Ovis aries: one gene and its partner. The protein of the gene in region 2 purifies or fractionates together with the protein of the main gene of each other region. This does not show direct contact. Links are inferred from orthologs where the notes say so. Each region holds a gene or a part of one and is shown on either strand. Other genes may lie near its edges.

Region 1 (4,412 bases), on a different chromosome or scaffold from region 2:
CAGTAACAGACAATGCCCCTCAATAAAGGTAAGAAAGAAGTCTCCGTAAGACAGTTGCCCAGACCGTGCGCTCCGCCCCTACCTCCATCCGCACCAACAATACCAGCCTCTCTGAGACAACTTTATCACAGCGTAAAACATACCATTAAGAAAAACAATCAAATTGGCTCTTTAAATCTTCCTATTTCAGGGTAAGTTCTTCCCAAACAAAAACAAACGCGACACGTCTCCGGAAGCAGGAAGCAGCTTTCAGGAAGAGGTTCCAGTCTGTGTCGCTTTATAGCTTCCGTACTGCAAAATGGCGCTACTCTAAGCAAAGGAGTCGACAAATAATCACAGGGCACAAAGACGCATGCGTGGCCGGGGAAACAAAACAAAACAAAACAAAACACCTGAGGGTGCAGGCGCGCGCTAGCGCCGGGTTTTTCCCGCCCTGGAATGTTTCCATAGCAGAAGCACAACGCACCACGTGCCGGGGCAGCGCGAGGACTGAGAAAGATCCGTCGGTTGGGGTTCTGTTTTTACATAACGCCCCCACAATGCCCTTCGCCTCCTCCCTCAACGTGGCCCCCGCTCCGAGCTCATTTTCTGGACCTGGGAAATCACTCTCAGGGTTAAAAAAGGCTCTGAGGCGGAGAATGCCCAGAAACCCTGAAATGAAATAACGTCACGCAGCCCCTCACCATTACTCTGACCAGGGTTCGAAGGTCGCATTTAGCGCCCACAGCAGCCCCGTTCAAGCCCTAAGAGGAAATGGAGAAGTGCAAGGGGACAAGCAGCAGAATGGCTGGCACCACCTCAGGTTAGCCCACGGGGCCGTCCTGGTTCTCACACCGCTCAGCTCATCCCAGTACACCCTACCCAGGACCCTCAGCATGGAACCCGGCCTCACCTCCCGCCTCCGCTGCGCGAACCCCGGATGAAACAAGGGCCCCGTCGCGGGTCTCCTTGGCGGGCTGACTCCAAGGAGCAAGGCAATAAGGGCCAGGAGGGCTGGCTGGCTGGGGATGAGGTCAATGCCCCGGGCAGCAAAGTCTCGCCGAGGCCTGAGGCTCGCTGTTTGATGGGAGAAGCAAGAAGCAACCAGCCAGCCTAGTTCCTCTCCCGGCCCACCCCCTCCCCTCCATGGCCCTGCAGTCCCCGGAATCACACGACTATATTTCCCAGGCTACCTGGCCCAGAACGCGGTACTGAGTTTCCGCTTCCGGTGGCGGCTCGCAGTGCCCTGCTGCGCCCCGCCCCCAGCGTACCCCTCCCCCGGGGCCTCGTGACACCAGGGTCGTGCGCGGGTCATCCTGGGATTTGTAGTTCGCTTTTCCCTAGTTTCGTCAGTTTCTTCTTCCCAAGGACTCCATTTCCCGGCATGCACCGCGGCTCCTAACTCTAAGCACTTGCGCGTTGCCCTCTTCCCCACCCTCCCCAGTTTCCACTCCCCCCACCCCACTTCGCCTGCCGCGGTCGGGTCCGCGGCCTGCGTTGTAGCCGTCGTCGCGGTCTTTGGAAGCAGAAACTCCCCTTCCCCTCCCCGTCCCCCGGTCCCAGTCCCCGTCCAGTCGGTGAGTGTGGTGGTCGTCGCCGCGCCATGTCCCCTGTCCCTGGGCGCGGCACATGGGGTCTCCGCGTCTTGATGTGGGGGTGGGAAAGGAAATGACCCGGTCCGGCACCGAGGGTAGGAGAGGTGGCCCGAAGGGTGGAGGCGGGATGTCGGGACTTCTATGAAACGGACCTGACCACCACCTATAGGCCATGAGAAAAGGAGGGCCCAGCTCTTGCTTGGAAAGGATAAACTTCGGAACCCTTGAGAATGGGGCCAGAGACTTGCGGGGGTAGGGAGCTTGAGCCACGGCCCTACCGGAGTTGACACGGAGGAGAGAGGGGCCTGGCTTTCAGGAGCGTCAGGGATGGAGGTAGGACTAGTGGGGTCAAGACCTGTCGGTTTCTCACAGCTGGTGGACCCCGAAGAATTTCTCTATGTAATCTCAGTGAAAAGGGGCTGGAATGTAAATAAGAGGAGCTAGAGAGACGTGCTCCAGTCTCGGGTTCTTTAAGAAAAGGGTAGCCCCAAATTCTTCCATGGTTTGAGGGCAAAGTGTGGGAGGAGTGAGGATACCAGAGGTTGGGAGGGAGAGCTTAGGCTTATACTCTTCTGTCTCTAGCCGACGTGAAGATGAGCAGCTCAGAGGAGGTGTCCTGGATTTCTTGGTTCTGTGGGCTCCGTGGCAATGAATTCTTCTGTGAGGTGAGTTCTCCTCAACCCTACCATCCACCTCCACATGTAATCTGGCCACATAATCTCCTGCACATAAAGCTTCCACACACTTCTCTTACATACTTTAGTAAAAACTCTTGTCAAGGAGGAGTCTCCTTAGTAGCGCTCTCTAACTTGTGGTGAAGGGTCAAGACTGAGACCCCAAGTCAACCCTGCCACCCTCCAACAGCCTAATGTTGGACTTGTCAACCTGTGTTGTTTTTTTTTTTTTTTTTTTTTTTTACCAGGGAAGTACTGATAGTATGTATTTCTGGTAGCTATTAGGAGAATTAAAACACTTCACGTTAAAATGTTTTATAGCATGGCTGTGTGTTAACATAAGGGAGTGTAACTGACTTCAGAATCCAAGCTGTTCAGCCCCCACCTTCCTCAGAGAGCCAGCTGCCCCTCAGGAGAGGCCAAAACTGATTCCTAGAGCTAGGAACAGGAATCAGGACAGGGATCTTGAAAGGACTGCCTCTGTAAGGAGGGGATTGCTTATGTTTAGGAGAAAAAAGCCAGACCTCTTCTGGGTGGGCAGTATACACGAACTAGGGAGAGAGGTTCAAGTACTTCTGCTGAGTTGGGAGTGTGGAACAAAGGGAATGAAGCAGTTGTGTTGAAGATAAGGCACGAGTTAGAGCACCCTGCCCAGGTCAAAGCTGAGGATTCTGCTTTGGGTTTCCTTTTGACTTCACGTCCTGACAGGTGGATGAAGACTATATCCAGGACAAATTCAATCTCACTGGACTCAATGAACAGGTGCCTCACTATCGACAAGCTTTAGACATGATCTTGGACCTGGAGCCTGGTGAGACACCCTCAGGGTTGTTTTGTGTGTGTGCTGTTTTTTTCCTATTCACACCTTGTTTATCTGCTTCATGAATTTCTAAATTTCCTTTTGGTTCTCTAACCCTTTTAACCCCAAATCCTTTACTTCATTTTGATTCCATACCTCACTCTTGCCTAATTTTGTGACTTCTACACTTGTTCTCATACTCTGATCCTATAACTTAGCACTTATCGAAAATGCTAGTTTCTCCATGGGTGTTATCTTCTTCCTTGCCCCTTCCAGGTTAGAGTTCTATCTTCTGTGTTGACATCTTTGCATTTATTTATTAAAAAAGAGAAGGAAGCAGAGGCTGAGAGGGATGGAAAGAAACCCTTGGGTTGGTGGAAGGGGCAGAGGCCCAGGCTGTGGGTGGGGTGAGGCTCCAAGTTGGGTGCTGGGCTGAAGAGCCAGCAGCCCCTGGGAGTAGGCAGGGCACCTTAAAAAGTTGTAAGACAAGTGGTTGCATTTGGCTGGTGCCATGTTTCAGATGAGGAGCTGGAAGACAACCCCAACCAGAGTGACCTGATTGAGCAAGCAGCCGAAATGCTCTATGGATTGATCCACGCCCGCTATATCCTCACCAACCGTGGCATCGCCCAGATGGTGAGGCCTCTCTACTCCTACTCGGTTCCTTCAGAGGCAACAGGGAAGCAGAGTTTCCATCAGCAAGAAGTCACTCGTTTCAGCCTTGTCACGGAATCTAGCTGAGAAGAGGGGAAAGAACCCCAGAATCTGGGCCTAGGGGTTAAGACCTGATTGAGGGTTGAGGTGAAGGGAGTGTTTTGGGGGAGGGAGATGTGACCTAGAGCAGAAAGTTGTAGACTGCCTCTTCCTCAGGGAATAAGCAGTGAATGTCTGATGATCTTCAGACTGCCTGACTGGATGAAAGGAAGCAGGGGAGTCTGAAGGCCCATCTGAGCCAGAGAAGGGGCCTCTGGACATTAAGAGGCAGAAGGAGTTGGGGACACAGTGATGTGGATTGGGCTGAGGAGGGGGTTGCCTCTTTTCTTCATACCTACCCACCAACTCCTTCAATTTCATTCACATCAGTTGGAAAAGTACCAGCAGGGAGACTTTGGATACTGTCCCCGTGTGTACTGTGAGAACCAGCCAATGCTTCCCATCGGTGAGTGTTGGGAAAGGGAAAGGAGGGCCATGGCAGGCTGGGATGGAGTTGGGGCTCAGCAGGTTGGGGCCTGAGTCCAGGAGGGAGGTTGGGCAGGCTTGGGTAACCTGGCCTGCTGAGTCTGGCTGTCTCCCAGGCCTTTCAGACATCCCAGGTGAGGCCATGGTGAAGCTCTACTGCCCCAAGTGCATGGACGTGTACACACC
Region 2 (3,812 bases):
CCGGTCCCCCTTTCCCACCAGCTTCACACCCACTGCACTGACATGGGGCCATTCTGTAGCTACCACTGGCGAGGATGACAGTTTCCAAAGCACTACGAGAGCGCGGCCCACCCTTACGTTCTGTGTGAGAAGAGGCACAAGGGCGCTTCAGGGAGAGGAGGCTCTGTCCCGCCAGGTGCCGAGCACGCGCTGCTCCAGAGCGCCACCAGAGCGCTTGAGAACGGCTCCTACGCATTTCAGAGTAAAAGCACTCACTTTGCACCAAAAGAGAGCTCTTCTGCCAACCAGGTCCCGGGATGACAGACACTCTGGATACTTTTTTAGAAAGGGTGGCTTTCCTCCAGTAGCTGTAGGCAGTCACATATTCCTCATTTTGACAAAGGATCGTCCAACTTCAGGCATGGCTGTATATATAACTCCACAGGCAGCTAAGCCGTCGTAAACACGCCAAGTATAAAGTCATGTCGAAAAGACATTTTCCCTCCCCAAAGTATGGCCCCAAGAAGCCATTATTACAATAAAGTATGAATTTCTGCTACAGGTTACTGACTATAATACTACCAGTAAAGTCTCGTTTAGTACATAAAAGCTTACACCGTGACATGAAGTATTTAGACACAATCCACTGACTGTTTTAAATTTGCTGTACACCTAAAGGACCCATCTGTATGTATTCTTCATTACACCCATCTGAATGTATATATATAGATCCTCTTTTGGTAGAATACAGACTTTGGAGATGAGGCAACATACAATGCAGCTGCTGGCGACTCCAATAGGCCATCTAGAAAAATGGAGTAAGTTCCCAAGGCCCATGCTGCTGGTGTCTCTTCTGAGGCTTCAAATTAAGAACTTTCTGAATTTATCTTATTGGCACTCTGCTTGAATCAAGACAAGGCTCAAAAGCAAGCCTTATCTCCTGCAAATTAATTCCACACACAGGTCTTAATTCTGTGTTTGGAACTGGCTGCAAATTTAGAACTTCCTCAAATGGTATTAAAAGCACTACACAAAAAATAGGCAAAAGCAGTTACTGGTTTTTCAAGAAAAACAAGACATATCTGCAAAAAATCAACAGCTCTGTAAACAGGGCTGTAGGTAACTTGGGACAACAATAGCAATTTAACATATACAGCGTTGGATGACCTTTTTTTAAAAAAACTGCAGTCTCAATACTTCATAATAATAAAAAAAAGATTTGCACAACATGATTTTCTAAGAGAAAGAGTTCACTTCTTTGTTTGAAGAGGAGTCAGTCCTGATGGCAAAAGGGCTGGGAATGTCAATTAACATATGCAAGACAATATAATACAAAGTCTAATATTTGTTTCAACAACATCCAGTCAGCTCCTGGTGGGTGAAATACTGCGGTCTAGCTGTAACCAGGGCTCTTTTCCTGTGGCATTTTAAAAAACGTAGCTGCTGCTGAGTCAGTGGCTTTCTCTGCGGCAGAGGTCCTGACCAGCCACTCAGAGTCTGGAGGTTTGGGGGCCTGTGACGCTGGTGTAGCTGACTCCACTGCATCCATGTGAACTGGTAAGGGTGTTGCGGTTAAATAAGGAGGAAAAAAGTCAAAGCGAGACAAATTAGAATGAGAGGCATGTCAACACAAAATTTTCTTAATCCTTATATTTTATGTCCTATTAAACCAAGCAGCTAAATAGGGTTTCTTTCTTCTTCTTTTTTTTAACCAAAAACTAAAGGCAAGATTTAAGTATGATAAGTATTTCTCCACATCAGAAAATAGGTTTAATTGAACAAATGAATAAGTTCAGGAGTATAAATTCTTAATGTACTAATAACCACTTAATGAAGCATTTACATGCCAGGAACTATACTATATAAACACTGTATACTTACAATCTTATTTCTTAATGCAAACTCTTAGAAATAGGTATTGCCATTCCATTTTTTGGGTCAGAAAACTGAGGCATAGAGAAAGCAGATAATTTGTTCAGAGACACGGCTGTTTAAGTAGCAAGACTCAAACTCATATACTAGACTCCAAGCCCTCTGCTCTTTCTATAATGTTCCATGCCTCCAATATGACAGTGTCATGAATAAACACTGAACAGTAAGGCAAAAAAATTACACAGCCGGGCCATCTGTTTTCAGCAAGGACATTAAGACATTCTAGACAGGATGACCACTGCTTGTGCAGGGCTGTCCTATTTCTTTTAGGACACCTACCCTTCCGGACCTATCCCTGAATGCTCAAAGCATTCCCAGTCACTGTGACAACCCAACACTGCCCCCACATTTGCACATGCCCCCTGAGCAGAGTAGTACAAACCACCATCACTCTACTGAAAACAAATACACACTAAAATAAAGCAAAACATTAACAATTTCATTTTTATCCTGTCACAATAATTCTACTCCCAGGAATATAATCTAGAAAAGTAATTTTCAAATTATGGGTCACAAAACCAATGTAGTAGGTCATGACAAACACATTTTTTTTTTTTCCGTTGATGAAAAAGAACAGAAAATATCAGAGGGAACCCAAAGGTTTATTTCAGATTTTACAGTTACACCCAATATATATTCAAACATGAATTTCTTACTGTGAGTTACCAGGAAAAAATATCGAAAGCTATTACTCTATGGCACATATACAAGTTTTTTAGAGGGCAGCAGTTATTTCAGAACCTCAACCCCAGCAGCAAGAAATACATATGACATCACCACCCAAATCTCTCTTTTTCACACACAAGTACGCATGCTCATTCACTCTAATTTAAGTGAAAATAAATTTCATAAAAACTGTACCTACCAATACCACAAGGTCATCAACCATGGGGAAAAAACTATCTGAGAAAAACTTTTTGTGTTGGCTACATATATTTTTTTTTACTATGGCAAAATACACATGAACTACACCATTCTGATAATTTCTAAGCATACTCCTCAGTAGCATTCAGTCCATCCACACTTGTTGCACAACCATCACCACCACCCATGTCCAGAACTTTTTCTTCATCCCAAATGGAAATTCTCTACTCATTAAACAATAACTCCCCATTCTCCTCCTCCCCCAGCCCTTGGCAACCACCATTTTACTTTCTGTTTCTAAGACTTTGATTTGTTTCAGGTACCTCTTCTAAGTGGAATCAAATAGTATTCATCCTTTTGTGTCTGGCTTATTTTCCTTAACACATTGCCTTCATTCATATTGTAACGTGTTTCATAATTTCATTCTGATAATGAAAGTTTTCAGGTTGAATAATAACTTGTTGAATGTATAGACCACATCTTCTTTATCCACTCATCCGGTGATGAACATTTGGGTTGTTTCTACTTTTGGACTGCTGTGAATAATGTTGCTATGAACACAGGTGTACAAATACCTATTTCAATCCTTGCTTTCAATTCTTTTGGGTAATACATATCCAGAAACAGAACTGCTGGATCACAGGGTAGTTTTGTGTCTAAATTTTTGAGGAACCACCAGATCTTTACACATAGTGGCTGCACTATTTTATATTCCCGCCAGCAATATACAAGCTTTCCAATTTCTCCACATTCTTCAAACAACACATGCTGTTTTTTGTGTTTGTTTGCTTATTTTGATACAGCCATCGTAAGAACTGAGAAATGGCCGAGAAAAACTTCTGCGCATGTTCTCCCACAGAATGGTGCAATACTTTCCCCGGCAGCACAAACCAGCATAAGAGCAAGAATATGACTGTCGTAAGAGTATGACTGAAATGCTTATTAAGAATGATTACCTGTAATATATTCATCATGCTCAGAAATGGAATACTATACATATGGCAATAATGAATGGATTCTGGTAGGATAAAATGTGA

Evidence for each region.
Region 1: the proteins of GPATCH2L (region 2) and CSNK2B purify together in Homo sapiens (co-immunoprecipitation; 3 studies listed by BioGRID and IntAct, with this or other methods). This does not show direct contact. The link is inferred for Ovis aries from reciprocal best matches to the Homo sapiens genes GPATCH2L and CSNK2B.

The regions. Positions count from the first base shown.
Region 1 is NC_056073.1:26,713,061-26,717,472, reverse strand, and holds the start of CSNK2B (casein kinase II subunit beta), read left to right. Parts: upstream 1-1,431; 5' UTR 1,432-1,556; intron 1,557-2,156; 5' UTR 2,157-2,167; coding exon 2,168-2,239; exon of another isoform or gene 2,240-2,956; coding exon 2,957-3,059; exon of another isoform or gene 3,060-3,567; coding exon 3,568-3,683; exon of another isoform or gene 3,684-4,130; coding exon 4,131-4,206; exon of another isoform or gene 4,207-4,342; coding exon 4,343-4,412. UniProt on the Homo sapiens protein: Regulatory subunit of casein kinase II/CK2.
Region 2 is NC_056060.1:85,681,189-85,685,000, reverse strand, and holds part of GPATCH2L (G patch domain-containing protein 2-like), read right to left. Parts: exon of another isoform or gene 2,495-3,812; intron 1,534-2,494; coding exon 1,373-1,533; 3' UTR 1-1,372.